Linked DNA regions of Ovis aries. The protein of the gene in region 1 purifies or fractionates together with the protein of each later gene. This does not show direct contact. Links are inferred from orthologs where the notes say so. Each region holds a gene or a part of one and is shown on either strand. Other genes may lie near its edges. The genes, in order: CXCR4, ITCH and TMEM63B.

Region 1 (4,059 bases):
GTCGATGCTGATCCCAATGTAGTAGGGCAGCCAGCAGGCGAAGAAAGTCAGGATGAGGATGACTGTGGTCTTGAGGGCCTTGCGCTTCTGGTAGCCCTTGGAGTGGGACAGCTTGGAGATGATAATGCAGTAGCAGGACAGGATGACGATACCAGGCAGGAGAAGGCCGACCACGATGTGCTGAAACTGAAACACCACTAGCCACAGGTCGCTGGGATAGAAGCGATCACAGATGTACCTCTCATCCGCTTCCTTGATGTCGGCAAAGATGAGATCAGGAATAGTCAACAGGACAGCGGGTAGCCAGACACCAACATAGACCACCTTTTCAGCCAGCAGCTTCCTTGGCCTCTGACTGTTGGTGGCATGGACGATAGCCAGGTACCGGTCCAGACTGATGAAGGCCAGGATGAGGACACTGCTGTAGAGGTTGACGGTGTAGATGACATGGACTGCCTTGCAGAGGAACTGCCCAAAGTACCAGTTTGCCACAGCATCAACCGCCCAGAAGGGAAGTGTGAGGACAAAGAGGAGGTCCGCCACAGACAGGTGCAGCCTGTACTTGTCCGTCATGCTCCTTAGCTTCTTCTGGTAACCCATGACCAGAATGACCAATCCGTTGCCCACTATGCCAGTTAGGAAGATGATGGAGTAGACAGTGGGCAGGAAGATCCGGTTGAAATGGGCATTTTCCTCCCGGAAGCAGGGTTCCTTCATGGAATCATAGTCACCTGAGCCCAAGTCATCCTCAGTGTAATTATCGGAAGTGAATATCTGAAAAACAGGCAAGGGAACAGACATTCACTTTCAAGTTCAGCAGGTATTCTCCGAGTTCAAAACAATGTTTCTGGTATTAAAAAAAAAGCAATTTGTAAAAACCAACTCAGTCCAGCTTTCTTCAGGAAATTCTGCTCCCACTAAAGTACCAGGGTAAAAAGGATAAGGGAATTCTAGACTCCTGCGGATCTCCTCCCATCTTCCCCCACAAGTCACTTCATTACATCCCTCTTTAGGAGAACCAATTACAAAACTCTTTGTTTAAAACAAAACGGCGATGAGAGTCTTCGGTTTCCTAAGTTACATCCTCGCTAACTCTTTTGCCCCGCCCACTGGAGAGAAGAAAAAACCTCCGGGGCAAAAAACCAAAACACAACACAAAGGCGGCGTGGGAGCGTGGGTGGGAGTGGGGGAAGAATCTCGTGTTCTGAGGGGCTGGGATTAACTTTCTCAACGAAGATTCGCCAGGATAGGGAAGCCGGGAGCAAGAAGCACTGGGGTGTGTGTGTGTGTGAAAGGGCGGAGTGTCCCAAAGATTCTTATTCCAAGGCATGAAACACTGTTTTCTCCACGACTGTCTAAACACTTATCATTCTGCACTTCAAGCAACACGTAGTGAGGAAGGAGAATGCGGCCTTGAATGAAGGGCTTTGGTGCTTGGGGGCAGGATTGTCAGAGTGGGTAACCGCCCCGACGCCCGCTCATGGGCGCTCTTCAGGGCCGTTTGTTTCTTTGCCAAACCCCTGTTTATCACTTGGCGCGTTTGGGACGTTAGCGAGCACAGAATTTTAATGGGAGGGGAAAGTCACGGGGTCTACACCCGTGGTCCTCGCCCCAAGTTTCATTTCCTCACTCTCCCAAGTCGCTTCCCATGCCGCCAATGATGCAGTAAAAGGTGGGAGGTCTGTAGTGGGAAGCCTCCGGGCGGAGGGCACGCTGGGGACAGGGTGGTCCAGCTCCGTCACTCCCGGCTGTCCACCAAGCCCACGCCTGCCGCCCGCCCAGTGCGGTTGCGGCGGTTTGGCCCCGCCGCACGCCAGGGGCAAGTACTACTGGGTGCTGGGGAGAGGTTGGGCGTCTCCGCCGCGGGAGCCTTTGAATCGCCCGCCGCTGGGGGAAACGAAAAGCCTCCCTAGTAAGGGGTTTTCAAAAGGTTCCAGGAAACCACCGACGGTTGAATGGCGCTACTGGGCGCGGTGAGAGGCAAACCGTCTTCCACTTGCACCTGCCTGTCTGCACCGCAACCACCGGCGGCCCAGGTGCCCTTCCAGCCCCTCATTCCACCCCCAGTCCCCGCCGCGCACACTCGGGGTGCTGCTGCACTGTGACCATTTATACTCCTTTAACTTCTGCACGACCCCCAAATTCCAGAACCCAGGAGCCCACTCGCGGCGCTGGCGACGCCCGCGAAGTCTCTCCCTCGATCCCAAGGCGCGAGGGCTGTTCCCAGTACCTCCCTGCTGCGACCAACGCGCAGACAGCTCAACTGAGCGACAAGTGCCCAGCCATTGGCACAACTCCGCGGGTAGCGGAGTTTAGTGAACACGCGCCCAACGCCTCTGGTAACTCTGCCCGGGAGTACCGCCCTCCACCTCCAAATTCAGATCGTGTTATCTGCTCCAAAAGAAACCCCCGCTCCCTCGAGGAAGAGACCCACGGTCTCTGACAGAGCACACATCTCTGCACTTTTCCACAGTGTTCTTCTGTTTGCAAACAGCGTGCAAAACCGGCGCGCGCCGCAGAACTCAGGGGGAGATACATGCAACCATTGAAACGGTCGTCCCAGTCTTTTCTCCTTCTACTTAAAAAAGATTTCAGTCCAGCATGCCTCACCCCTCCTGTAGCCAAGCGCACGAAATCTCCTTTCTACACCCTTTCTCCGGGCACTGGCACCTGCAATAGTCTGGTTGCTCCGGCCCACTCAGAGAGCGGTTGCGCTGTAAATTCAGGTGTTTGCACGTTTAAGAAAAAACAGGTTGAAACTGGACTTACACGGATCCCTTCCATGGTAACCGCTTGCTCTCCAGCCGCGGGGGCTACCGGCTACTCAAGTCCTCAGGGTCACTTTGCTACCTGCTGCCACAGCCAACACACTGAAGTTTCTGGCCGAAGCTGGACTTTTATAAAAACACGCTCCGCGGGCGGCGCATGCGCCGCGCCGGTGGGCGGGAGGGCAGGGCGGGGAGAAAGGCGGGGTGCAGGAGAGGGGCAGACGCGGGGGCGGGGGACGCGAGGGAGGGGCGGAGGGGTAGGCCCTCGGGCAGCGTAAGCCTGGGAGGCCCTCAGCGGCTACCTTTAGCTCTACCTCGAGGTCACCTCGTGAGTCTTAAGCTGGGAAGCTCATCCTGGAGGCGTGTCCCAAGTTGGGAAAGCAGGATGCGCTTGGAGGAGGTGGAAAGCGCGGGCGATTGACGCGCCCTGTTCTGTCCTTGCTCACGTGGGTGGTATTGCTGACCCGGGAAAGCTACAGATGTAGACACTGAGGTCCAGAGAGGGGAAGTGACTTGCCGGAGAAACCCGACCAGCAGGCGGCAATGCTAGCAGTGGGTCCAATATCTTGAGTCCATTCCCTGCTCTTTGAGCAGATGCAGTTCATTCAGAAAATGAAACAAGTAAAGATTCTTTCTTCAGAGCACAACTATATATAACTAGACATGCACATCCACCGTAATAGTGCTAGAGTCAAGTGTCGACAATCAGAAAACATTTTCAGACGAAGGTCGGATGATTTGGCATAATTCTGGAGGGAGATAGTGATAGAGAAGTAGATGTGTGTTCCCGGGTAACCAGTTCGTGAATAGTGCTTTTGAAAAAGTTGTGCTGTGTTATAAGAGATACTCAGCGAAGAGTACTTCCCTAACATGTCACCAGGTAGCTGCACAGATTCATTCATTCTCACAACACCCTGTAGGTGTTATCATTACAGAGATGCATTTAGTCAACAGATAATTTAGTGAGGGCTGACTGCATGCCACGCACTGTTCTAGGAGCTGGGGAAACAGCGGTGAACCTGACAAGGCCCCCATGCGGAGGAAACAAGAAACAGATCCGCAGACATGCAATTCCAGGGTTGCCCGGAGATGACAAGCCTGACTCAAACCCAGATCTACTGGCCTCACATCCGCTGTCCAACCTAATGTGGAGAACAAGCGTTGGCAACAGTAAGAAATTCGGTTGGAGAGCTGGGCAGGGTGGAATAAGGGTGGGGGCTGGACGCTTAAAGGTATCTCAGACGGCTGGGGTTTGCAGTGGTCGCTCAGACAGTGCTTTCGAGTCTCGCGC
Region 2 (4,327 bases), on another chromosome or scaffold:
GTGTCCACAGGAGTCATCACTAATCAATCATAACTCACTTTCCCAGAGAACCCTTATGATTAAAATCCTTCTCAACACAGGGCTTCTGGCAGCTACTTCAAGTGAAAGTTGGCCCATAAATCAAAATGTATCTGCTACTGTGGACTAGATAATCTCTACAATCTCTTCCAACTCTTTAATATGTATTATTTATTTATTTGGCTATGCTGGGTCTCAGATGTGGTATGTAGAATCTTTAGTTGCAGTATGTGGAATCCAGTTCTCAGAACTGGGATCGAACACACAACCCTTGCATTAGGAGCATAGAGTCTTGGCCACTGGACCACCAGGGGAGTCCCCCAACTCTAAAATTCTAAAACCAAGTTTCTGAGGGTGGGAGAAAAAACACTTCCCAAAAAGCTCATAAACCAATAGCATTGATAGCCATAAATTTCAGTCTAATCTCTAAATTCTACAAATTGTACCTGATCAAGGATGCTAACAATAAATTCTGATACCATTAACATATATAACTGTGCAATACTATTCTGATTTGCTAATGGGTTCTTTTGACAGAAAAGGAACCTTTTACCCAGAATGGCCCTAAAGAAATCCTCATACAAAAATAGGACAATATTGCACTAGTAAAGAACTAAATTTAATCCCTTGATCATGCCCACGGCCTCTCAATGAGGACAAGCCTTTCACTTCTCACCTAAACCACTGCAACAGCCATTCTTCCGTCCTTTCACTCATGCCACAAAGCAATCTTCCCAAAGCAAACATGTACTCAATATCATTTTCCTGTTAAAAAATCTGTATCTAAAAATAAATAAATAAATAAATAATAAAAAATCTGTATCTATTGCTAACAACATAAAACAAGTTTTTTTCTTGCCTCACATCCATAATGCTCTCCTTCCCCATCCCACTCCCTGCTCCCTTTTATCTTCCACAATCCTGTGTTTACTAACAGTACTGAGGTGTTTCCTCTGCCCTGTCCTTCCCTTTCTCCATTACAATAACACTTCAGCTAAGACCCAACTTCAGCTTGAAGCAGATTCTTCCTCCTCAAATCAGACACAACTGATTACCTCCTCTTCCATCTCAAAGCTTTTGGTTTATTCAAAGTATTGTCTCAAAGGTTTCCAAAACCATCAAAATTGCCTGAGGCAAGTTTTAATCCTCAAGGCCGACCCAAACCTATTAAATCAATCTCGGGAAATAAGGCTCTGAAATTTCTACTTTTAAAAAAGCTGCCCTGATTATTTTAATGACCAAATTTGGGGGCTACTGGTTTGTCTCTTCCAGTTGGTGTAAAGACGTTTCTTTAAGGAATGGAAAAATGATTTACTCTAGAATACACTGAGGAATTATCCTGCACTTGTTTATTTCATATCCTTGTTGACTTGACTCATATGCTGAAGATGAAGGAATTCCTTTCGGACTCACACCCAAAAAACTTATATCCACTGTTGAAAACAGCAGGTGAATTTCCACCTTCATTTCTAAATCTTAAAAATGAAGTAACTGTAACCTGAGTAAACCTATGAATACATGATTAAGACTCTCACCAGACCTGCTCTGAGAACTTTATTTCGGCAGAGAAACAACTCTCTAGCCCATTTTGAGGGTGGAAATACACTGCCTCTAGTACTTCCCTACGATCTAATTATATTAGGAATACATGCAAGACTCAAACTAAGTACAGTGATAGATGGATGGCTCAAGTGCCTCGTTAATTTTCAGAGAAAAATTCCCTGAAATGTCTCTTCCTTCCCCACCCCTCACTCCCAAAAACTACACTGAAGCTGAATAACAGCGGAAAATCTAACAAGATACAAACATTAGCAAGAAAACAAGGTGAGTTGTTACTGGGGAATCGTGGATTTCGGGTAGTTTGCAAATCCACCAGGTTACATCGCTAACTTGAGGCCCAGCGTCTACCTGGGGCGCAGAGATCCTGTGTTTCGCTCTACGTCGCGGCCCGGAGCAAAGTCTAAGAACTTGAGTTCCCCACTTAGTCCCCACCAAGTCCTGTCCTCATCACGACTACTTTTTCCTTCTCTCCGCTAAAGAAAAGGGCACTTTCAGGAGGAAGGGCAGTGACAGCTCCACGTCTGCAAAACTCGGCGCCGGCGGGGCCGCTGCGGCGGCGGCGGGCGCCGACGACGACGCCGGGGCCGGGACCACCACGCTGGGGGACAATAGACGGAGGGGAATGGAAGAGAGAAGAGAGGCAGCCGCTGTACTTGGCCCCTCTCGCTGGTGCGAGCTCCAAAAAGTCTCGGGAAGGGCAGCGGGTGGCAGGTGGGCCCGGCCGCCGCCCCTCGCAGGGCCACGTCGCCCGCCCCGGCCGCTGCCGCGGGGCCCCTCGCGTAGGCCGGGCCGCAGGAGCAGAGCCCCCGGGCGGGGCTGACGGGCTCTGGGCTGGACCCCGGGGGCGCCCGCTGGGGCCCAGTTCTCTCAGAACTTGGCGCCCGCGAGGAGAGGGGCTCCGACCGTCTGAGCCCAACAGGGGCCGCTCGGGGCTTCCAGATGACCCATCCCCGCCACCCCTCCGCCCGGCCCCTGCCACTAGCCCGAGCTCCCCGCGCCCACCACGGGCACCGGCTCTGAGGGAAGAGGAAGCAGCCGCGGCTCGGGTCCCGGCTGACGCGCCGCACTCCTCTACCTCTCGCCCTCCTCCGACGTATTCATCCAGGACCCTCCCTCTCCCCAAAATTGCCTCCAGTCCGCCCGCGGGTTTTTACCGGGACACGGGGCGGCGGCTACTCTTCAGTCCCTCGACTAAGATGGCAGCCGGTCCCGATTCCGGACCACAGCTACTAGAACGAGTTGGCGGCCAACGCGCAGGCGCCTCCAGCTCCGGAGCTATCAGGACTACAAGCCCTAGAAGTCCTTGCGCACTAACCAGCTGCGGGCAGGAAGACCTAGCGGAGGCTGGTGAGCGCAGCTAAATCCGAGCTTGTATTTAGCTAGGTGGGAGGGACTCTTGGATTACTCCCGGTCAGTACAGTTGCTCAGTCGTGTCCGACTCCTTGCGACCTCAGGAATTGCAGCACGCCAGGCCTCGCTGTCCATCACCAACCCCCGGAGTTCACTCAAACTCATGTCCATCGAGTCGGTGATGTCATCCAGTCATCTCCTCCTCTGTCGTCCCCTTCTCCTCCTGTCCTCAATCCCTCCCAGCATCAGTCTTTTTTTCTTAATTTTTTTTTAATTTAAATTTATTTACTTTAATTGGAGGCTAATTACTTTACAATATTGTATTGGTTCTGCCACACATCAACATGAATCCGCCACGGGCGTACACGTGTTCCCCATCCTGAACCCCCCTCCCCCCTCCCCCCTCCCTCCCCTTCGCATGAGGTGGCCAAAGTATTGGAGTTTCAGCTTCAGCATCAGTCCTTCCAATGAACACCCAGGACTGATCTCCTTTAGAATGGACTGGTTGGATCCTCTTGCAGTCCAAGGGACTCTCAAGAGTCTTCTCCAACACCACAGTTCAAAAGCATCACTTCTTCGGTGCTCAGCTTTCTTCACAGTCCAACTCTCACATCCATACATGACCACTGGAAAAACCATAGCCTTGACTAGACAGACCTTTGTTGGCGAAGTAATGTCTCTGCTTTTGAATATGCTATCTAGATTGGTCACAACTTTCCTTCCAAGGAGAAAGCGTCTTTTAATTTCATGGCTGCAATCACCATCTGCAGTGATTTTGGAGCCCAAAAAAATAAAGTCTGACACTGTTTCCACTGTTTCCCATCTATTTCCCATGAAGTGATGGGACTGGATGCCATGATCTTCGTTTTCTGAATGTTGAGCTTTAGGCCAACTTTTTCACTCTCTTCTTTCACTTTCACCAAGAGGCTTTTTAGTTCCTCTTCACTTTCTGCCATAAGTGTGGTGTCATCTGCATATCTGAGGTTATTGATATTTCTTCTGGCAATCTTGATTCCAGCTTGTGCTTCTTCCAGCCCAGCATTTATCATGATATACTCTGCATAGAAATTAAATAAGCAGGGTGACAGTATACAGCCTTGATGTACTCCTTTTCCAATTTGGAACCAGTCTGTTGTTCCATGTCCAGTTCTAACTGTTGCTTCCTGACCTGCATATAGGTTTCTCAAGAGTCAGGTCAGGTGGTCTGGTATTCCCATCTCTTTCATAATTTTCCACAGTTTATTGTGATCCACACAGTCAAAGGCTTTGGCATAGTCAATAAAGCAGAAATAGATGTTTTTCTGGAACTCTCTTGCTTTTTCCATGATCCATCGGATGTTGCCAATTGATCTCTGGTTCCTCTGCCTTTTCTAAAACCAACTTGAACATCTGGAAGTTC
Region 3 (3,606 bases), on another chromosome or scaffold:
GACCCCAAATTGTTCTCTCATACTGACCAATGATTGATGAGCTAATTATAGCTGTTGTTCTGTAAACTGTGGGAGGGCAGGACTTGTTTCTAATTGATTTATGCCTGGCACACAGAAGGTGACCAATAAATGCATGTTGAATAAAAAAGAGGATTCACTCAAAAACCCTGGTCACAAACCAGTCATTCGGTAACACAGGGGCCTGGGATCCAACTCCAATCCCATCCTGATCCAGGACAACTGACTGCTCATCCAGGTCAACCGACCTCACTAAATCCTGATCCTCACCAGAGACCGAGCCCTGATCCAGACCACCAATGGCCCTAGTCAGGACCTCCGGCCAACTCCTAATACTGTCCCCAGAGACTGGCCTCTAAAGCTGGCCTCCACACTGTGAAGCCCTGAGAACTCGATGGTCTTGCACTCATTTCTGTAGTCCCCAGGCCACCACATGGACCTCAGCAGCACCTGAGAACAACCGCTGAGTGGACAGATGAACAGATGCTGTATACAGACTGTTCTGGCCACTGGAAGTGAATTTCCTTCACTTTAGTAAGACAGACTTCTGGCTAAAAAGCACCTCAGAGAACATGCAGCCCAGCTCTTCTGGGCTCCCTGAGGATGCACTGAAAACTGAGAACCTTCTCCCTGCCAGTCCGCGTGCACACAGCCTCCAGAACACCATGCACAATTCTGAGAAGGCCACATCCTCAAGGGCCCGTGGACCCAGGGTCAACAAACCATGACCTGGTTCAAGCCAGGAGGAGGAAAGGCCCAGGGACTCACTTTTCAAGTATTTCTCCAGCTCTTTGAGGGACCTGAAGTCCAGCCCAACACCTTGGAGTCAGAATTCTTTCTTAGCATAACCCCCTACCTTGTACCACAGCCCCTGAGCCCCCCAGGAGAGAGGCCTGCGATGATGCTCTTGGAGCTGAAAGAAGGCAAAGAAGGGTCCACGGGTCCTGGGGTTGGGGACAGGGGGAGGAGCTACTCACTCAAAATGCTTCTTGATCTTCTCTGACTCTGCATATTTGGAGATTCCGTTGATGAAGAGAGTTCGCTTCACCTGGGGAGTGAAGGGGGCCAGTTTGCCTTCCTGAGGCTTGACCCTCAGAGAGGGGGTGGGGAACGGGGAAGCAGAGAGGGACAGGTGGGATAAGCAGACCTCGGCATAAGCCAGGGGCGGTGTTTCTAATAGAAATCAGACAGTGAGCAGAGTGAAAGCCCCCTGGCCTCTTGCCCCCTGAAGGCTTATGGGGGTGCAGAGCGGGTACTACTTGCAGATTCTCAGACCCTGAGGCCCCAGCAGGGTGGGTGCTTGGAGTGGGTGTTCAGTGCTGGTTTGGGGAATAAATATAGGAGAAGAGGGACAATCACTCCCACAGCCATTTCCTGCCCCAGGCCTTCCAGGCACGGCCTTGCCTCATCCCCCACCCACCTTGGGAGAGGGACCATTCTCACCTCCTACAGAGGAGGGGACTGAGCCTGGGGGAGGTCACTTAACTGGCAGGATGGGGGCTCCTGGGCTGCTGAGCCAGGATTCAAAACCAGCTGGCCTCACCTGGGTGCTGACCACACCTTAGGACTCAGCAGGAGAGTCCCCGAGGGTGGGCTGGGGATGGGCCTGGCTCCGCTGCACTCACCAGGTCATCCTCCTTGTAGCGCATTTTCGAGGTGTGTCTGCGCATGCTGTAGACGGTGAGCAGCAGGTACAGGAAGGCGAAGGAGGTGTGCAGCCATAGCAGGTTGTTCCTGGCGGGACAGAGGGGGGAGCGGGGCCACCAGGGCTGGGAACACTCGCAAACACCCCCAAACCTGCCAGTGTCCATGAAACCCTGGGGGACTTCCCTGGTGGTCCAGTGGTGAAGAATCCGTCTGCCAGTGCAGGGGACACGGTTTGATCCCCGCTCTGGGAAGATTTCACACGCCGCGGGCGCTGCAGGGCAACTGAGCCCATGCGCCACACCTACTGAGCCCATATTCTAGAGCCCACACTCCGCAATGAGATGCCACCGCAGCGCAACCGGAGGAGCCCTTGCTCGCCACTAGAGAAAGCCCACACACAGCGACGGAGACCCAGCACCGTCAAAAATAAATAAGCATTAAAAACAACAACCCTGGTACAGGGCCCCTTAGAGACTCGGGTCCTCTGACACCCTCCCAAGGCAGGCCCCACACCCCACATCCTGACCCCAAGACTGTCCCATTCCAACCACACTGTCCCCAGAGGTCATCTCTTCACGCCCTCCCTGCTGGGTACACTGCCCTCTAGCCACCACCAGCCAGCCTCCCTGGGAGCCTCTCCTTCTGGCTCCATCCCAAGCCCTCAAGGCCCCACCGTCACCTCTGCAGCCTCAGTTACCTCTCCCCCAAACACCCCCCTTTTTCCTCCGCTCCCCATTCCTATCCAGACTCTGCCCACAGACCCAGGCCTCGCTTGACCAGCTTCCCACTCTTACCCTGATTTCAAGTTGGCAATGGTGGTTCTCCCAAAGCTGTAGGCATTGTTCTCTGGGGGGTGGGACGAGGGAGAGGATGACGGAGGGGTCAGGGCACGTCCCCTTTTGTCCCCTCCTCTTCCCACCACAGTGGTCCTGGCCCTTACTGACCCAGCAGGTCCCCTGAGAAGTTGACGGGCAGCACGATGCCTACAGAGAGGACACCCACGGCCACCAGCAGCCCGATGATGTGCCGCTGGAAGGACAGGTAGTGCACGGCATCGCCTCCACATTTGTCCCGGATCTCGTCATCCCTGTGGGCACCGGGGATGTGGTAAGGACCAGTGTGCCGGAGGGGCCATGGCTCATCTGCCCTGGCCCACCCCAGCCCACGTCCACCCTAGCCCTGGCTGATCCGGCAGCAGGATGGGGTTGAAAGAGGGGAGGTGGGGCTCTGGGTCCCCTGTGTCCTGGGAGGGGAGGGAGAAGGAAGTGAGAGGGAAAGGGAGGGAGAAGAAGGAAGGATTCAGGGAGAAGGGGAGGGAAAGAGAAAAGAGAGGAGGAGGAGAGGGATGGGGGAGAGAGACAGAGAGAGAGAAGAAAAACAAGGCACACTGCAGAGAGGAAGAGCAGCAGGGGATGGGGAGAAACGGAGGTGAGAGGACAACCCGAGGAGGGCGGACAAAGGTGGTGGCAGGGGGAGACAGAGGCGGGAGGGTGGAGGGAGGTCTGGGAAGCAGCGGTGCTCGCCCTTAGGCGTGGGGAGCCCTGGGCACCCACGGGCCAGGACGGTGGCGGTGCTGACCTGTCCCGGCTTCCTGCCTCTCTCAAGGCTCACTGCCTGCCTGCCGCACTCTGGCTCCGTCTCCTGACTTCTGCCTGCTGGAGACTGGCTCCTGCCTGCAGCTGGCTGGCTGCCCCCAGCCTGCCTGTTGCCCCTACCCGCTGGCTGCACATGGCTCTGAGGTGGCAGCGTCCGCGCCTCCTTGCACAGGGCGGCAGGGGCGAGGAGAGCTGAGGGCAGAGCAGGCCCCCTAGGCGGGGGAGGGGCACAGGAGACTGTTGGGGGGTAAAGTGAGGCTGGCTCAGAGGAACAGCAGGGGCCTGGGCCTCCGGAACAGGGAGGTGGGTGCTGGCTTGGCTAGGAGCGCTAAGGCCCTCAGAGATG

What was found.
Region 2: the proteins of CXCR4 (region 1) and ITCH purify together in Homo sapiens (affinity purification with western blotting; 5 studies listed by BioGRID and IntAct, with this or other methods). This does not show direct contact. The link is inferred for Ovis aries from reciprocal best matches to the Homo sapiens genes CXCR4 and ITCH.
Region 3: the proteins of CXCR4 (region 1) and TMEM63B purify together in Homo sapiens (co-immunoprecipitation; 3 studies listed by BioGRID and IntAct, with this or other methods). This does not show direct contact. The link is inferred for Ovis aries from reciprocal best matches to the Homo sapiens genes CXCR4 and TMEM63B.

What each region holds. Positions count from the first base shown.
Region 1 is NC_056055.1:174,726,310-174,730,368, reverse strand, and holds the start of CXCR4 (C-X-C chemokine receptor type 4), read right to left. Parts: upstream 2,839-4,059; 5' UTR 2,785-2,838; coding exon 2,770-2,784; intron 775-2,769; coding exon 1-774.
Region 2 is NC_056066.1:63,780,578-63,784,904, reverse strand, and holds the start of ITCH (E3 ubiquitin-protein ligase Itchy homolog), read right to left. Parts: upstream 2,810-4,327; 5' UTR 2,581-2,809; exon of another isoform or gene 1-2,580. UniProt on the Homo sapiens protein: Acts as an Acts as an E3 ubiquitin-protein ligase which accepts ubiquitin from an E2 ubiquitin-conjugating enzyme in the form of a thioester and then directly transfers the ubiquitin to targeted substrates.
Region 3 is NC_056073.1:17,652,262-17,655,867, reverse strand, and holds part of TMEM63B (CSC1-like protein 2), read right to left. Parts: intron 2,753-3,606; coding exon 2,610-2,752; intron 2,512-2,609; coding exon 2,460-2,511; intron 1,753-2,459; coding exon 1,644-1,752; intron 1,067-1,643; coding exon 996-1,066; intron 1-995. UniProt on the Homo sapiens protein: Mechanosensitive cation channel with low conductance and high activation threshold. Osmosensitive cation channel preferentially activated by hypotonic stress.